3 linked regions of the Macaca fascicularis genome follow. The protein of the gene in region 2 interacts with the protein of the main gene of each other region in a biochemical or structural test. Links are inferred from orthologs where the notes say so. Each region holds a gene or a part of one and is shown on either strand. Other genes may lie near its edges. The genes, in order: GRK2, GNAQ and RIC8A.

What was found.
Region 1: the proteins of GNAQ (region 2) and GRK2 form a complex in vitro, tested with the Homo sapiens proteins (3 studies listed by BioGRID). The link is inferred for Macaca fascicularis from reciprocal best matches to the Homo sapiens genes GNAQ and GRK2.
Region 3: the proteins of GNAQ (region 2) and RIC8A form a complex in vitro, tested with the Homo sapiens proteins (2 studies listed by BioGRID). The link is inferred for Macaca fascicularis from reciprocal best matches to the Homo sapiens genes GNAQ and RIC8A.

What each region holds. Positions count from the first base shown.
Region 1 is NC_088388.1:7,107,924-7,113,692, reverse strand, and holds the start of GRK2 (beta-adrenergic receptor kinase 1), read left to right. Parts: upstream 1-2,487; 5' UTR 2,488-2,717; coding exon 2,718-2,830; intron 2,831-5,769. UniProt on the Homo sapiens protein: Specifically phosphorylates the agonist-occupied form of the beta-adrenergic and closely related receptors, probably inducing a desensitization of them. Key regulator of LPAR1 signaling.
Region 2 is NC_088389.1:108,364,070-108,369,561, reverse strand, and holds part of GNAQ (guanine nucleotide-binding protein G(q) subunit alpha), read left to right. Parts: intron 1-1,849; coding exon 1,850-2,040; 3' UTR 2,041-5,492.
Region 3 is NC_088388.1:87,662-93,430, forward strand, and holds the start of RIC8A (chaperone Ric-8A), read left to right. Parts: upstream 1-2,319; 5' UTR 2,320-2,401; coding exon 2,402-2,485; intron 2,486-2,821; coding exon 2,822-2,869; intron 2,870-2,957; coding exon 2,958-3,548; intron 3,549-4,117; coding exon 4,118-4,209; intron 4,210-4,797; coding exon 4,798-4,948; intron 4,949-5,769. Other genes in the region: BET1L (BET1-like protein), read right to left, coding at 875-893.

The sequences.
Region 1 (5,769 bases), on a different chromosome or scaffold from region 2:
CACACAGACTCTGGTCTGACAAGTTCATCAGGCAGAAGTTTTTAAATAGAGGTTATTCCCGAAAACCCTGGCTGACATGTGGCTGTGCTCACAGTCCAGAAGAGTCAGGACAGGGCAGTGGGGAGAGGAGGTTAGAGGCTTCATGTTGTGGCATCTGGCCTTGTTCCACTCCAAACCCCATGTGCTCCAACAGCTCATTCACTCATTCATTCACTCCTCAAACATTGACGCCTTTGAGTCAGGTCCTGTGGTGGGCACTGGGAGCAAGGGATGAACTAGGAGCACCAGTGACAGTGGGGGACAGTATGTACTCTTTAAATATATATAACAGCATTTCCAACATCACGATGCATTTTCCAATTGATGCAGATATGTAATGAGACTTCACTCCCCACTCTCAAAACTTGCAATGATGCATCTTGCAATGATGCATCTTGCAACTGAAGATGGAAAATAGGGCCTAGAAGGTGGTAAGTGTAGAACTGGAGATGTACATAGTTGGGGTCAGGGAGTCAGGGAAGACTGCCGGGAGGAGGTGAGTCTTAGCGGATAAGTAGGAGTTGGCCAGGGAGAAAGGTACACAGAAGGGCTTCCAGGCCCAGGAAACAGCAGAGGCACAGAAGTGAGAATGGGTGGGTGAGTTGGTGGGGGAGCTCCAGGTGCAGAGGATGGTAGCAAAACAAACGGGAGCATCCAAGGTCCAAGTCCTCCAAGATCTTGACTTGCAGATTAAGGAGTTTGTTCACCTAACCTGCTTTGGGCAGAGTGGGGTGAGTCCTAGAGACCCCTCTAGGTCTCTCACTCTCAGTAGCCCCAGAAGGCCTGGAGAGCTGCTTCTTGGTGCCAAGCAGGCAGTGACTCCATCAGATCTAGACCTGGGAAAGGCATCTCTGGTCAGGGCCTGCATCAGGGCAGTGGCTGGCCATAGGACCCTGAGAAGTAGACAGATTCAAGGAGATTCTCAGGAGGCCAGACAGGAGACTATAGTGACAAATTAGAGAAGGGGAGAAAATGAAGGAGCAGTTAGGGAAAAGAAACCTGGGGCTCACCACTCACTGAGAGGAGAACCTCACTAGCTCTGATATGCTCTGGTTCCAGGTTCTGTTGGGACTGATCCAAGAAGGTAGCCTAGAAGTGCACAGAGATGGGAGCCTTGCTTTGCAAAAGGATCCTGGTTGCTGGCCCACAACATGGTAATGAGATTTGAGCTCTATGTGCCCAGGGCTGGGAGGAGGGTCCTATCACTTCAAAAGCAAAGAGAGGGTCTAGAGAGGGGCATGTTGAGATAGGACTGCTGCCTTGAGACACCTGGCTTTCCTCACTCTGGGTGGGCTCTCGGGTGGGTTTCCCCTACCAGGCAGCACTGAAACCTCTGTGCCATCCCAGGCTGGGAGAGGTTTCACCCTACATGTGGAACCATCCTGAAGGAGCGTCTAGATGGGATGGGGTACACGGAAGGGAGCTGCCAAGAGTGCTGGCCAGGGACCTGGGTCTACGAGCCTGTTAGGGGGTGGGGTTGGGTGCAGGGTACTTGATCCAGAGTGGGCCTGCAGGGGCCAGGATTGGTTCTAGAGTAGGAGGGGTGGGATCGGGGATGGGGGAAGGCTGTAATTGGACTGTAGTTGTCAGATCCCAGGTTCTGGGTGACCTACTAAGGATTCTGGGTCCAATGTGGGTCCCAGGTTAGATGTCCTAGTCCTGAGTCTGTGTCCACAGTTTTGGGTGTTGAGCCTAGGACAGTGGTCTGGAGTTGATAGTCCAATCTAGGTCTAAGCCCTGACCCCAAGTCTAGGATGCAGGGTCATGGTAGTGGCCTAGGGTCAGAGTCAAGGTTGGGGTCAGTAACCAGGATGAGATCGAGGTCATGGTCCAAAATCTGGATCTGGGGAACTGTTAGGGGTCTGGGGTGAGTGTCACAGTCTGGGTATGGCGTTGGAGACCCAGGGCTGTGATCTGAGGTCATGGTTAGAGTCTGAGGTGGTGGGCAAAGGTTTGAGTCTGGGGTCCTGTTTGGAGTCTGGTGTCAGGTCGTGGACTGCGTCAAAGGTCAGGGAGTCTGGGGTTATAGCCAGGGTCTGAGATGAAAGCCCCGGGATGGTGTTCAGAGGTCTGAATCTGTGTCTTGGTGAGCGTCCAGGTTCCTTGTGATCATGTCTGTTGGCAGGACCACGGCCTGACTGGAGAGCCTGGGATTCAGAGATGTGACCCGAGGTTGTGGTCAAGGAATGGGTCTGGGATCGTCTTCCGTGCCGGGTCCCTGTCTTGTTCCAGGCCCGGGTCTCCGTCCAGACCCCAGGTCACCGCCAGGATCTGAGCCCTCTGTCGCAGGTCTCCGCGCGGCCTCCAGGGGGCACCATCGCCCGCCCGGCTCGGCCACTTGCGGGCTCGCTGGCGCTGTGCGCGGCAGGCGGGGCCGGAGGCGGCGGCGGCTCCGGGGCGCGGGCGCGCGGGCGGCGGCGGCGGCGGCGGCGGCGGCGCCCCGACTGCAGTCCCGGCGGGAGCGGAGCGCGAGCCGGGGCCGGGCCCGAGCCGGCGCCATGGGGCGGCGCCGCCTGTGAGCGGCGGCGAGCGGAGCCGCGGGCGCCGAGCGGGGCCAGGCGGGAGGCGTCGGCGCCCCAGGCCGACCGAGCCGCGGCCGGACCGGGCCGAGCGCCGAGCGAGCGGGAGCGGCGGCGGCGGCGGCGGCGGCGGCGGGAGGAGGCAGCGCCGCCGCCAAGATGGCGGACCTGGAGGCGGTGCTGGCCGACGTGAGCTACCTGATGGCCATGGAGAAGAGCAAGGCCACGCCGGCCGCGCGCGCCAGCAAGAAGATCCTGCTGCCCGAGCCCAGGTGAGGAGAAGTCGCCCGCGGCCCCGGCCCGACCCCGCGGGCACCCCGGCCGCGACTCCGAGACCCTGGCCCCACACTCGACCCCGCGACTTGGACCCCCGGGGCCGGCTCTCGCGACCCTCTGTCGGCCCCCGAGCCCGGAGCAGCCCGGCCGTGGCGCCTGCGGGTCCAGACGCTAAGCCCCAGACCCCGGGCGCCTGAGCCCGGAGCGCCCCAACTCCGGAGCTCCTCTGCCCCTTCGGCCCCCGGGCCCGCTCCGGTCCCGCCGGCCGCCCTGCTGCTTCCTTATCGCGTTCCGCCGGCCCCCCGCTCCAGTCGCTGTCAGCCCCTAGCTCCCGCCTTCTCCCACAGGGGCCCGGCGCGCCCCTTCATCCTCCTCCGAGCAGCCCTTGGTCCCTGTGGGGTCCCTTCCCCTCCGCCGGCCACCATTTACCTCGCCTGACGATGTCACCCACCCTTTTGCTGTCCCTGCTCACGGCACCCGCCTTGGGGTTCCCACTACCCCCACCCGTCTCCCCTCCAATCTACACTTGTGTGAGGTGTGGGGGGACAGCCAGTTTTCCGGACTCTTCTCCCACCCTCTGGTGGAGTCGCTATCCTGTAGTTGGGCTTGAGAGTGCTTTCGGGGCGGCGTGGTGAGCAGGACCTAGGGTGCTGCGGACGCCCTCCCCCTCAGACCGCGCTCAGGTGGGGGAAACATCCCGTGCCCTCTCCCCCACATTCCTTCTCGGGCGTGCACTGCATATGGTGCCCGGTGGGTGCTGTTGACCAGGGGCCCTCCCAGCACACTGGCAACAGCTGGACCTTAGCTGCCGCCCCTGTAAGACAACTGACATCACACCTGGTATCAAAGTTTAGACTGTTCAGGATGTAGGTGCAAAAGTACACAGGATGTGGACGATTGCTGCGGTTTGTCCAGCTCTTTATGGCTGATGGAGTATCTCTCCACTGTGTGAGCCTCTCAGCAGCGAATGGGGTGGCCAGGACAGGTGTGGTTTTGTCCCTGTGGAACAGGTGGAGAAACTGAAGCTCCAGAGGTGAGTGGCCTGCCCCAAGTCACACAGGTAGTCTCAGGTGGCACCTGGCCAACAGATCAGGGCTTCAGACTTCCGGTTCTACATTTCATTGGCTGCCCTGGCTTGCGCCAGGGAGCAGATGTGCCCGCCACGGTCCTTTGTGTCGTGTGGCAACTCCTCGTGCATGCCTGAGAGTTAGCCTCCTGGTGCCCCAGCAGGCTGGGAATGGGGCCTGTCCACACTGCCGTGGTCTTATCTTGTGACTGTGGGCAAGTCCCTTCCCTCACTGGGCCTCAGTCTTCTCGTCTGTGAAATGTGGATGGCGTGAAATAAGAGTTGTGACTCTGTGATGTCCCTCAGCCTTTGAAGTGTCTGTCTAAGCCTGGGCTGACGCTGCAGGGGTGCCATGCCCATGGCCCTCACCGGCCCCCTCTGCCATGCCCTGCTCACTGGGTGTTTGGATTGACTGAACGTCAGGCCGGGGAGAGGAAAATTGGTCTGCATTCGGAAAAGGCCGTTAGGGCCTTTTTTTTCTAAGATATTTGCAATCAGATTTCTCAAAACAGGAACCAGACTGACTGTCAGCTGGGGGCTGTCCAGGGAGCAGTGACGGTTAGTGCAGAAATGAGTTCAGAAATGACAAACCCACGAGGGAGGAAATGGGGGAGTCAGCCTCTAGGGCTCAAAACGGCTCTCCTTGGTGGCCGCAGCTTTGAGACCCTCCTGCAGGATGGAGTTCGGCAATGTGTGAGGTGGGACCTTTTCTGGAACTGTCTGCGTTCGTGTACTTTTCCCCCCAGAATGCATTGCTTCTGATGGGGTGCCGCCTTGGCTCTGCAGGTGTCAGAACCCGGAGAAACGAGATGTTCTTCTTTTCCTGTCCCCTTTCCCATCCACAGCAGTGATGGCGATGATAGCAATAATGATAGGAGTTATTACTGACTTACCTGTTTTGACATCTGTCCTCTCAATTCTTCAACCAACCTGTGAAGCTGGCAAGGCCATGCCTTGCATGTAGTAGTTGCCCAAGAAATACCAGGACTGTGTGACGCCCCAGGCAGTCCTGAGCAGAAACAAGGTTGGATAGGATTCTAGGAGGACAGCAGGAGGCGGAGCCAGGCAGCCCAGGTTTTCACATTGGGTCACCATCAGCAGCATGGCCTTCCGCAAATTGCCCACATCTGTGAAATGGACTGGAGGTGCGAGCGCCGAATGTCAGTGTGCTAAGGCCTGGGAAGGGCTATGGGCCACCCCTACATGGGGGTCCAGGCCTGGGGCATTAGGGAGCAAGCCACCCTTTGCATAATGCCTTGCCTTGCACACCCAGTGGGGCAGAGCGCACCCCCTGCCGCCCCGATGGTGATCCTGACCACGTCTCATGTTTGCCCGACACTTTTCCGTTTGCAGAGTGCTTTTTACTCCATTTTGTCCTTTTGACAACTGTGGGAGGCAGGCCCAGCAGATGGGATTCTCCCCTTTAGCAGTTGAAGTCATTGAGGCTCAGGGAGGGGAGGAGTCGTGTTCTCGTCACAGAAGAAAGCTGGAATGGGGCCTCAGGTTTCTGGACCACACAGGCCAGTGCTGTTTCTCTGCTGTGCTTTATCCCCTCCACCCACCCCTGCACACCACTGTTCTCACCCCTGTCCACATTTTGCGGCGTGGGCTGACTGGCACCGCTTGTCTGGGGCCATTGGCTGTCACAGTTCACAAGGCTCAGCCCCCTTCCTGTTGGCTGGGATGGAGAATTGAGCTGCCCTGGCAAAGCTGCTGCCCCGAGGGGCAGCTCCACTCCAGGGTCCCATCAGATGCAGGAGCCTGTCTTCCCCATACCCCCAAGGTCAAGGTCAGAGTCAGGGAGAGGGGCTGTGGCTTGTCCCCGTGACAGGGTGCCTCTGGGAATTGTTCACACCTTGAGGTGGCCCA
Region 2 (5,492 bases):
TATTCTATGTTTAGCTTTTTGAGGAACCACCAAACTGTTTTCACAACAGCTGCACCTTTGTACATTCCCACCAACAGTGCACAGGAGTACAAATCTCTCCACATTTTCCCCAACCCTTGTTATTTCACACTTTTTTATAGCCATTCTAGATGTGGAGGGGTATCTCATTGTGGTTTTGATTTGCATTTTTCTAAATGATTACTGGTGTTGAGCATCTTTTCCTGTGCTTATTGACCATTTGTATATCTTCTTTAGAGAAATGTCTGTTCAAGTCTTTTGCCTATTTTTTAATTGGGTTTTTTGTGTGTGTGTTATTGAATTGTAGGAGCTCTTTGTATATTCTGGATACTAAACTCTTATCAGATGACATGATTTGCAAATATTTTCTCCCATTCTATAGATTGACTTTTCACTTTCTTAATAATGGCGTTGGCCAGGTGTGGTGGCTCATGCTTATAATCCCAGCACTTTGGGAGCCTGAGGTGGGAGGATTGCTTGAGGCCAGAAGTTCAAGAACAGCCTAGACAACATAGTGAGGCCCCATCTTTACAAAAAATTTAAAAATTTGCCACGCTTGGTGGCACCTGTAGTTCCAGCTATTCAGGAGGCTGAGGCAAGAGGATCACTTGAGCCCAGAAGGTTGAGGCTGCAGTGAGCCATGATCATGCCACTACACTGTAGCCTGGGTAGCAGAGCAAGACCCTGTCAAAAAAAAAAAAAAATAGTCCTTGGATACATAAGGTTTTTAATTTTGATGAAGTCCAATTTATTTTTTCTTTTGTGAAAAATATGACCTGGCTGTGGTGTCATATCTAAGAATCCATTGCAAAATTACGTTTTTAGTTTATCTTGCTAGATATATCACAATTCTTTTTCAAAGCATCTAGGACAATTCCTGGCACATAAGAGACTCCTTCCTAAATCAATGTGAGAAAATACAGGCCGAGTGCAGTGGCTGACACCTGTAATCCCAGCACTTTGGGAGGCCAAGGCGGGTGCATCACCTGAGATTAGGAGTTTGAGAACAGCCTGGCCAACATGGCAAAACCTTGTCTCTACTAAAAATACAAAAATTTAGCTAAGCATGATGGCAGGCACCTGTAATCCCAGCTGCTCAGCAGACTGAGGCAAGAGAATCGCTTGAACCTGGGAGGCAGAGGTTGCAGTGAGCCGAGATCTCATCGCTGCACTCTTGCCTGGGCAACATGGTGAGACTGTATCTCAAAAAAAGATAAACCAATTGTTTTATCATCACAAATGAACTGAATGCTACACAAATGTAGTGTGCTCATAAATACCAGAAATCTATGGAAGTGAGACTACCGAGGCCCACTGTAGACAGAGCTGACCTTACAAACAGGTGTTTTATTCTAAGAGGGATTGTCAGTCTGGAAGATGTAAAATGATCCATAATGTTGAGTCGTTTGGAGGACAGATTGACAGGAGAGCCCAAGGAGGCTGTGTCTTTGTGCACACTTATTAAATAGCTGAAACAAGCATAATTAACTCAGTTGAACAGAAGTAAGCTATCACTCCCCTGATGAAGAGCCTACAGTGGCTCCCAGTCACTCAGGGAATCAGAGTGAAGGCCAAGCTAAGAAATAGACTTAACCTTGGCCTTCAAGTCATCTGTCTGCTTTCACCTATACACAGTTTGTGAATGGGTGGGTACGTGGGTGGGTGGGTGGATGGTCAGACATAGTAGTGTTAGGGAAAATGATTATAACAGATCAAATCTGCAGTGCAGATGTAGGCTTCATGAGCAATGACACAGTATTTATTGAACGAATGATAATTGAGTACATTAGCAGATTAGGTAACAGTGTCCCTCTTGTCTCTTGGCCAAAAGGACCCCAGAGAGATGCCCAGGCAGCCCGAGAATTCATTCTGAAGATGTTCGTGGACCTGAACCCAGACAGTGACAAAATTATCTACTCCCACTTCACATGCGCGACAGACACCGAGAACATCCGCTTTGTCTTTGCTGCCGTCAAGGACACCATCCTCCAGTTGAACCTGAAGGAGTACAATCTGGTCTAATTGTGCCTCCTAGACACCCGCCCTGCCCTTCCCTGGTGGGCTATTGAAGATACACAAGAGGGACTGTATTTCTGTGGAAAACAATTTGCATAATACTAATTTATTGCCGTCCTGGACTCTGTGTGAGCGTGTCCACAGAGTTTGTAGTAAATATTATGATTTTATTTAAACTATTCAGAGGAAAAACAGAGGATGCTGAAGTACAGTCCCAGCACATTTCCTCTCTATCTTTTTTTTAGGCAAAACCTTGTGACTCAATGTATTTTAAATTCTCAGTCATGCACTCACAAAGATAAGACTTGTTTCTTTTCTCTCTTTCTCTCTTTTTCTTTTCTATGGAGCAAAACAAAGCTGATTTCCTTTTTTTTTCCCCCCCTAATTTATACTTCCCTCCTGATTTTTTTCCCAAGATACAATGACCTTTATCCTAGTTCCATTCTTGGTCAAGTTTTTCTCTCAAATGATACAGTCAGGACACATCGTTCGATTTAAGCCATCATCAGCTTAATTTAAGTTTGTAGTTTTTGCTGAAGGATTACATGTATTAATACTATGGTTTTAAATGTGTTGCTCTGTATACATACATAGTTTCTTTTTTAATAGAATGTACTGTCTTGTCTCACTTTGGACTGGGACAATGGATGCCCGTCTAACAGTAAGTGTCATTTCTTTTAGATGTTTACCTTCAGCCATAGCTTGATTGCTCAGAGAAATGTGCAGAAGGCAGGATCAAAGACACACAGGAGTCCTTTCTTTTGAAATGCTACGTGCCATTGTCTTTCCTCCCTTCTTTGCTTCTTTTTCTTTTTTTCACCCTCTCTTTCAATTGCAGATGCCAAAAAAGATGCCAACAGACACTACATTACCCTAATGGCTGCTACCCAGAACCTTTTTATAGGTTGTTCTTAATTTTTTTGTTGTTGTTGTTTAAGCTTTTCCTTCCTTTTTTTTCTTAGTGTTTGGGGGCCACAATTTTAAAATGACTTTTATTATGGGAATGTGTTGCCAAAGCTGGCTTTTTTTCAAATAAAATGAATAAGAACTCAAAAAATAAAAGCTGGTATCTTAAAATGTAAGAGAGTAAGACTGTGAAGCCTAAAATGACTGGCTGAGAATGAACCAGAAATGCCAATTGCCAAACAGTTGGTAACTGTAAATTTGATTCTCACGGTCCATTCTTTTATTTGTCCTTAAGATGACATTGTTAGTGTTCACGTCCCATGTTCAGTGTCCAAACCGGCAATGTAAAAAGTATCCTGTGTGGTTTAACAGGAAATCTGTTTATGTCTCTTTATTTGAAACCAGTTTTACTCTCAATGGTTCTTTAAGTTCAATTAAGTCTGCCAGGAACATTGGTTGATAGTATTATTCTGACACCTTTAATTTCCAAAATCTGAAGTTCCTGCTGGTTAACCACCTTCAAGATCTTCTTGAACTGGTAACTGATTAGGTTGAACTTACAGAAGATTTGTGGACTTAACTCAAAAGTAACCTCTCAGTGTTCTATAGAACATGTATTTGTGTAACTGAACCTACTAGGAGAAATGTTTGGAATTCTATATGTGCAATTTTTCAGCAAATGCAAAAAAATACAGCACACGTATTGACGAGCTTCTGTCAAGCAGCTTGAGTTGAAATTTAAGAAAATAAATCACGATTGTTTAAAGCTGCTGGGACGTTAGAATTAGGCCATGAGACTGGTCTCATTTTAACTATAGTGGTATTTGGCACTAGTCTAAACTTCCATATAAATCACTCTTTTGGAACAACAAAGGGGGAGGGAGAAAACTAACGGCCTGTTAGATGAGTACCAAAGCCACCAAACAGTAATGAAATATTCTCATTCTTGATTCTCCCAGCCTCAAACAACACAGGTTACTTTTTTTCCCTTGCTCAGAAAGCACCTGTAATGTAACAAGCAGACTGCCTGTAGGTATAGTGCAATTACAAATGCTCTAATCATTGTACATACATCTCTCTTGATATTGCAGCATCCATACTGGCTTTGTAATCATTAATTTTTTGGCAGATTGAATGTGCTGTATTGATATGTATCTATGTAATTGTATTGTATGTCTATAGCTAATTCACATTTTGAATAATGTTATTTTATTTACTTTTTTAAGAGAGGAGAATGTAAATTTGTCAGTTTATTTCTGACTAGGGATATTTTCTTTCCATTTAGAAAAGAAGAAAAAAAAAAACCTTACTGTCGTACAGAGCGGTACTAGCGTCGTGCTGTATAAAATCATTTGCACATTCCTGAGTAGAGGTATACTGATTATAAGACCCAAAGGTAATTTCATAGCAAAATACATAAAATCAGTCAGAGCTTTTATACAAACATGGAAACCAACTTTGTAGAACTTTTGCCATTTGATCTAGGATTGGAATATGAGCTTTTATACAATTCATATTCTTATTTGGCAAATGCACAGTTTAGTATTACCTCTCTGATGGCCTTTACTAGAAAGGCAGTTTTAGAAGCTATTGTGATCCACTAAGGAAATGTTTTAACAGCTAGAGACCACTGCTTGCCTGAAAGGGCGTTCTTAAATTTGGTGCAGCAAAAAAAAAAAAAAAAAAAGTAAAAACAACAACATTTGAAGGCCTACAGTGTGTATAGAGAAAACCTCATCACAAGATCATAAGTGTTACAGTTTTAGGGAATCAAGATATTCTATTTAATAGAGCTATAGTAGATGTAGTCAATCAAACCTGATCTCAAAGCTTGAAGAAGCTGAGCAAAACAGGGAAAGATTGTTATATTTGTCTTTATGAAATTGGGATGGAATTTGCTATGCAGAATTGAGGTTTGTGGCTTCACTGTTCCTGTAGGGTGCATGACAAGATCCCTTCTCTTGAGAAAGGAAAAAATTGATCACCCTAGCAGCAGTGATGCATAGAAACCTAATTTTAGCCACACTAGTCAATCGAAGCTAAAGGATTTTCTTTTTTGTTTCTTTGGGGTTTTATTGAAGGGGCTAAGGGCGGGACGGGATTCTTTTCAGTTTTGTATAAAACAAAGTTTACTCATGCTTTATATTATATTGTGATTGCAAGCGTTATAAGCGTGTGCCACTGGCCTCCTATTGTTGATGCTTAGGTAATGGAGGCCTGTGGTGAGTTTTATGGTGACTTGGGCATGTCTTATTCAAAAACAAAAACATAAAACACAGAAACCTTTCTTCAGCATACCAAGGCAAGCAGCCATTTCATGACTCACTTAACACATTGCAGTGTACCAGTTTACAGATGATTTTTCCCTTTTTGCGTGACATGGCAGTTCCAACCCCCAGAGAATTCCTTATTTGTAAATTGGAAGTTTCTACTATGCCTTACAGAGCTTAAATTCAGAAGTTTGTGCCTCATATCTGAAACAAAGGGAAACAACACACGTATTCACAAGTAAATAAATCTCCTAGATGTTTTTGTTTTTAATATTTCCACAT
Region 3 (5,769 bases), on a different chromosome or scaffold from region 2:
AAACTCTGCTAAGAGCATAGGAAAGACTTGGGAAAAGTACCCAGCAGGGCAGCAGAAAGGCTCCTGCAGGGACGACCTTTGAGCTGGGTCCTGAAGAGGTGGCAAGGAACCAGGACAGAACATTGGGAAGGCCCTTTACCGCACAGAAAACAGCTGAGCAAAGTTCCCAATTCCGCGAGATGGGAGCTGAGGTCGACCAGGAGCGTGATCCCTGGTCTGCATCCCACACAGGGCTTCCTGCAACACCCAGGGCACAGCGCTTGCAGAGGCCCGGCCTGTGACAGGCTGGGCCAGGTGATAAGGAATTTCTGTCACCTCAGGTGGGTGAGAACCACCTTCTCCCTAGCTTCAACGTTAAGGAAGGGATGCCAGCGTCCTTCCAACCACTTCCTGTTCATTAATTCCTTTACTCATCATAACTCAGACAGGCATCAATATCCCACTTTGCAGAGAAGAACACGGGCTCCAGGAGGGGAAATGGGGCCACCGAGGCCCAAGTTAGTTAGCAGAGGCCTGCCTGGACACCAGCGGAGCACAGCCTACTCCGAAGGCCTGGCCTCGGGACCTGTCGAATGCCGAGACTCCCGCTCACCCTGAACCCATGCAAAACGATCTCACAGGGAGCGGCGGGGAGTGGGGGGACCCCGCAGCTGCGCGAGCCCTCGCTGGAGCTGCTGGGCCGCCCCGCCCGCCGTCCTTCCTAGCGGCAGTGCTGGCCGAAACCCGGCCCTGCTGGGACCCGGAAGGATCCGAATCCGCCCCCCTGACAGGGTCCTCCCCGCCGAGGCCAGAGGCAGGCGCACGCGGCTCTACAGGCAGCGGCGTCGGTTCCGGCCCGGCCCTGCCCCCAACGGCTCCGCTCTCCCGCGCTCACCCCGAGCCCAGTCCGCCATCGTGCCCTGCCCCGGCTCCTCGACGCCAACACCGACGCGGCCACAGCCGCCTCAGACGTGGCGCAGTCACGGGGAACGGGCTTCCGGCCCCGCCCCCCGCCAGCGATGGCCCCGCCTCCGCGCCAACCACGCCCCTAGATGGCGTCGGGCTCGCTGATTTCCGGCTTAGGCCCGAGGGTGGGGAACCGCGGGGTCGCGGAAGCGATGGGCGTCGCTGTGACTTATTTTCAGCACTGTCGCCCAGGCAGTGGCGCGATCTCAGCTCACTGCAGCCCCCGCCTGCCGGGCTCCCAAGGTGCTGGGATTACAGCAGCACCGCGGATGTGACGTTTGTTTGTTGTTCCTGTGAACGTGGGGCGGGGCGGGGCCGTTTGCTTGCTCAGTGCCAAGACGATGGTGGTGGAAAGACGCTGCCATGCGTTAGGTCCTAACGGTTAGGAAGGATTCACAGGCGGGTCATGAGGGAGGAGTAGGCCCCTCGGGCAGAAGCCCGCGAGGAGCCCTGGGTGTGGAGGGGGCAAGGGTGCCTCCTCTGTCAAGTGGAGATCGGCGCCTCGCTAGTGCCTGCGAGTGCGCGCCGCGTCGAATACAGGTGTGCGGAAAGCGCTACAGGAAAGTGAAGCAGGGAAAGAGACTGGGAGGCGGCACGGGGAGTGGGGGCCGTAGACGCCTTTGCTCCCGGGCACTTGTTACAAGAGCCAGTGGACCGCGCTTCCTGTGCGTCACTGAATCCTCCTGATGGCCACTGAAACGGACACGCAGGATCTTTGCTTGTCAAGAGGGAACTGAGTCCAGGCCAGACTGCGTTGCTCCCCTTTCTCTCGGCCCCTCACGGCCCTTCCACCTTTGCAAGTGCTGCTCCTTCTGCCTGGAGTGGCTCCTCCAGTCTTTTCCCGGCTCGCTTCCCATCGTCCAGTGTTAGCAAAAACACCACTGCCTCACAGCCCTTGCAGCCCAGCAGTCACCTTTTGCTTCTTTTGAAGCACAGCCCTGTGACCGCCTCATGTCCTTTTGTTTTTCCTTGTCTGCCTTCCCCTCTGGAACATAAGCTCCACAAAGGCAGGGGCCTGGGAGTCCCGTTCGCTTGCATTCCCCAGCAAACGCCTAACGAACCCAATGGCCCGGGACTGAAAAGTCCTTTCCACTTCGGCTTTCCCGTCTACATCCCATCGGTTCTGTGGAGCTCGAGGGGCGTCACTGTGTGTGTGGCAGGGCGCGGTGGGGGCTGAGATCCTTTCCTGTTGGAAATTCCGGCCCAAGAAGCCCCGGTCACAAGGAGGGGGATCAGTCCGGTTCAGGGCGACTTGGCCCGACTCGGGTCTTCCGAGCCGCCAGTGCTGCCTCAGGCCGCGCCCCCTTGAAGCGCCACCAGACGCCGCGTCCCGTCCCGGCCTCCCCCGCGCGCTGGCGCGGGGCTTTCTGGGCCAGGGCGGGGCCGGCGAACTGCGGCCCGGAAAGGTTGAGGAAGGGCCCGTCCCGCCTTCCCCGCGCCGGGTTCCGGGGGCGCCATGGAGCCCCGGGCGGTTGCAGAAGCCGTGGAGACGGGGAAGGAGGATGTGATTATGGAAGCTCTGCGGTCGTACAACCAGGAGGTGAGCGGCCGCCTGAGGCCGGGGGGCGGGCACGGAGGGGGTGGGGCAGGGTCGTGCGCGGGTGGTCGGGACGGTGTGGGTGAGGCAGGGGTTGTGTCAGCAAGCAGAGGGGACGCGGCGGCGTGGGGGTGGCACGTCAGGGATGCAGTGTTGGGGGGAGAGTGTCTGGGGTGCACCCGTTGGGTGGCAGGTGTGTAGGGATGGGGGCGAGTGTAGACCCTGCCACCCCTTCTGAGCAGTGGCTGCTGCCTGAGTTAGAGGCCAATAGGCCGCCCCCCGTCAGCGGGCGCGGATACTGCCCCTCTGTGGACTTGAATTCACTCGTTCTCTCTGCAGCACTCCCAGAGCTTCACGTTTGATGATGCTCAACAGGAGGACCGGAAGGTGGGTGCTGGCCCGAGGGGTAAAGGGACAGGGACGGGTGGCCCCAGGAAGAGGGGCCTGGTGGAGCCGCTCGTCTCCCTGCCCACAGAGACTGGCGGAGCTGCTGGTCTCCGTCCTGGAACAGGGCTTGCCACCCTCCCACCGGGTCACCTGGCTGCAGAGTGTCCGAATCCTGTCCCGGGACCGCAACTGCTTGGACCCGTTTACCAGCCGCCAGAGCCTGCAGGCACTGGCCTGCTATGCTGACATCTCTGGCTCTGAGGGGTCCGTCCCAGACTCCCCCGACATGGATGTTGTACTGGAGTCCCTCAAGTGCCTGTGCAACCTCGTGCTCAGCAGCCCTGTGGCACAGATGCTGGCAGCAGAGGCCCGCCTAGTGGTGAAGCTCACAGAGCGTGTGGGGCTGTACCGGGAGAGGAGCTTCCCCCACGATGTCCAGTTCTTTGACTTGAGGCTCCTCTTCCTGCTAACGGCACTCCGCACCGATGTGCGCCAGCAGCTGTTTCAGGAGCTGAAAGGAGTGCATCTGCTGACTGACACACTGGAGCTGACGCTGGGGGTGACTCCTGAAGGGAACCCACCCAAGCTCCTTCCTTCCCAAGAGACTGAGCGGGCCATGGAGATCCTCAAAGTGCTCTTCAACATCACCCTCGACTCCATCAAGGGGGAGGTGGACGAGGTGAGCCCTGACCTCAACCCATGGATGGGTCTCAACTCAGCTCCAACATTTCCTGGACCTGCTTCCCACTGGGTACCTTCAGGTTTCTGGGTGTCAGACATGGAGAGAACAGGACCTCCCAGCGTGTTGGGACAAGGCCAAGGAGATGCCAGTTCTGGGCTGGGACCTTAGGGGAGGATTCTGAGGGAAGTAGAGGCCCCTTCTGGCTCTTGCTGCCTGGCAGGGGGCTGTGTGCTCTCCGGGGAGACTGTAAGAGATCCTCCACCATGAGGCTGTGAGTGGGGCTGAGACAAGAGTGTGACTTCATCCCAAGGGTGTGTGTTAACATTCCTAATCAGGGACGTGCTCTTAGAAGAATACTCATGGAGTTTTTAGGAAGACAGCGGTGGTCATCTTTTGCCCCCAGCACTAGCCAGAGTCACCTAGGAGACCCCAGGGGACCAAGTGTGCAGTACAGGAGGTGCACAGTCATTGCCACACAGTTCTGGAGTGCAACAGACAGTAGAGCCTCAGCAGGCAGCAGTGGGATGAGTGGGGCTCCTCACAGGAACCCTTCTTTCTTTGGTCAGGAAGACGCTGCTCTTTACCGACACCTGGGGACCCTTCTCCGGCACTGTGTGATGATTGCTACTGCTGGAGACCGCACAGAGGAGTTCCATGGGTGAGGATGGGGCTTTTTCTGGGAGGGAAGTGTGTCCACATGTTTAGATGGTCATCCTCAGCCCTGGCTGTGAACCAGAACCACCTGAGAGCCCAGGCCCCACCCTAGAGGGTCTGACTTTGTCTGGGTGAGTGAGACTGGACATCGGTGTGTTTCCAGAGAATACTGGGTGCTTCTAATATGTGGCCAGGACAACAGCCATGAATTTGGGGGCAGGAATGTGCCACCTGGGCCTTGGGTAGTGGCAACAGACAGTGTGGTATTTACTAGGGCACATTGGCTCCTTGTCCCCATTCTTGGTCCACCTGCCCCTTGGCTGGTGTGGTTTCCAGAGATGGTCTGGCGCTTTGGCCCAGACAGGGTAGGGGAGGCAGGGTGTCTCAGCCCCCACTTCCCCAGGGGACCCCACTGTACAGCTGAGTGGCAGTGCCTCTCAGATCAGTCCCTGCCCTTGGCTTTGGTCCCCAGTGCCGCCCCTTTGGGCCTCAGACGCCAGCTCATGTAATGTGTGGTTCAGTGGGGGCACAAAGATTGCATCTGTGCTGAGGGATTAGCCCTATTGAGACCCCCACCTCCATCTGTCCTCAGCCACGCAGTGAACCTCCTGGGGAACTTGCCTCTCAAGTGTCTGGATGTTCTCCTCACCCTGGAGCCACACGAAGACTCCGTGGAGTTCATGGGAGTGAATATGGATGTGATTCGTGCCCTCCTCATCTTCCTAGAGAAGCGTTTGCACCAGGTAGGCTGGGGATGGCTGTACAGGCTCCCCCAGTGGCTCTGGCACTGGTTCTCCTGCACAGCTGTGGTCAGTGCTTCTCCACTGGCCACATTGGTAAGTGGAAATCATCTTGGTGGTGTGATACAGGCGATTCTTCCGGCTGTTCTGTGGTCCAGCCTGGCAACAAGCTAGACCCTTCCTTCATGAGAAGCATGTGGACACCTTCCACACACTTGAAGGTTTCACTTCTTAAATCTTTGTGGATCTTTATTGAGTGGTCCTGAGAAGCCCCCAAGTCCCTGCTTTTAACTCTCAGACACAGGCAGCCCTTGACTACAAGCATAGCTGTCCCTCAACATCCTGAGGAGACCCATAGGAACCTCAGATCAAAGCTTCCCTCTGATTCCTGTGACTGCACTACAGGGCATCTGGATAGCTAGGGCTCTAACCATCCTCCAGGAGCTTGCAGAAAGCAGGCTGGAGCACAATAAACCGAGATTTAGGAGACCTCTCGGGAATCTACCTGCCTAAGCAGGGGACACACATGGTGCGTGAGAGCCAGTCAGGGTAGGGAGCTGGCACTGGACATACAGCCGGGGGGTTGTCTGTGCCTGTCGCTGTCGCTGCCACTGCTGGTGCTGGGGTCCAGGCACATTATGCTAGGAGGGTCAGGAACTCCCTGCTCTCTGTCCATGAAGTACCCAGAGTGGGGATTCGGTTCTCGTTTCTTTTTGCCACCAACATCTGAGGGCAATGTGTGTGCCAGTCTAAAGCTTTAATTGCTTTGTGTTTTCTTCCCAGCCCTGGTTTATAGTTGAGGTAATTAGACTTAAAGCAGTTAT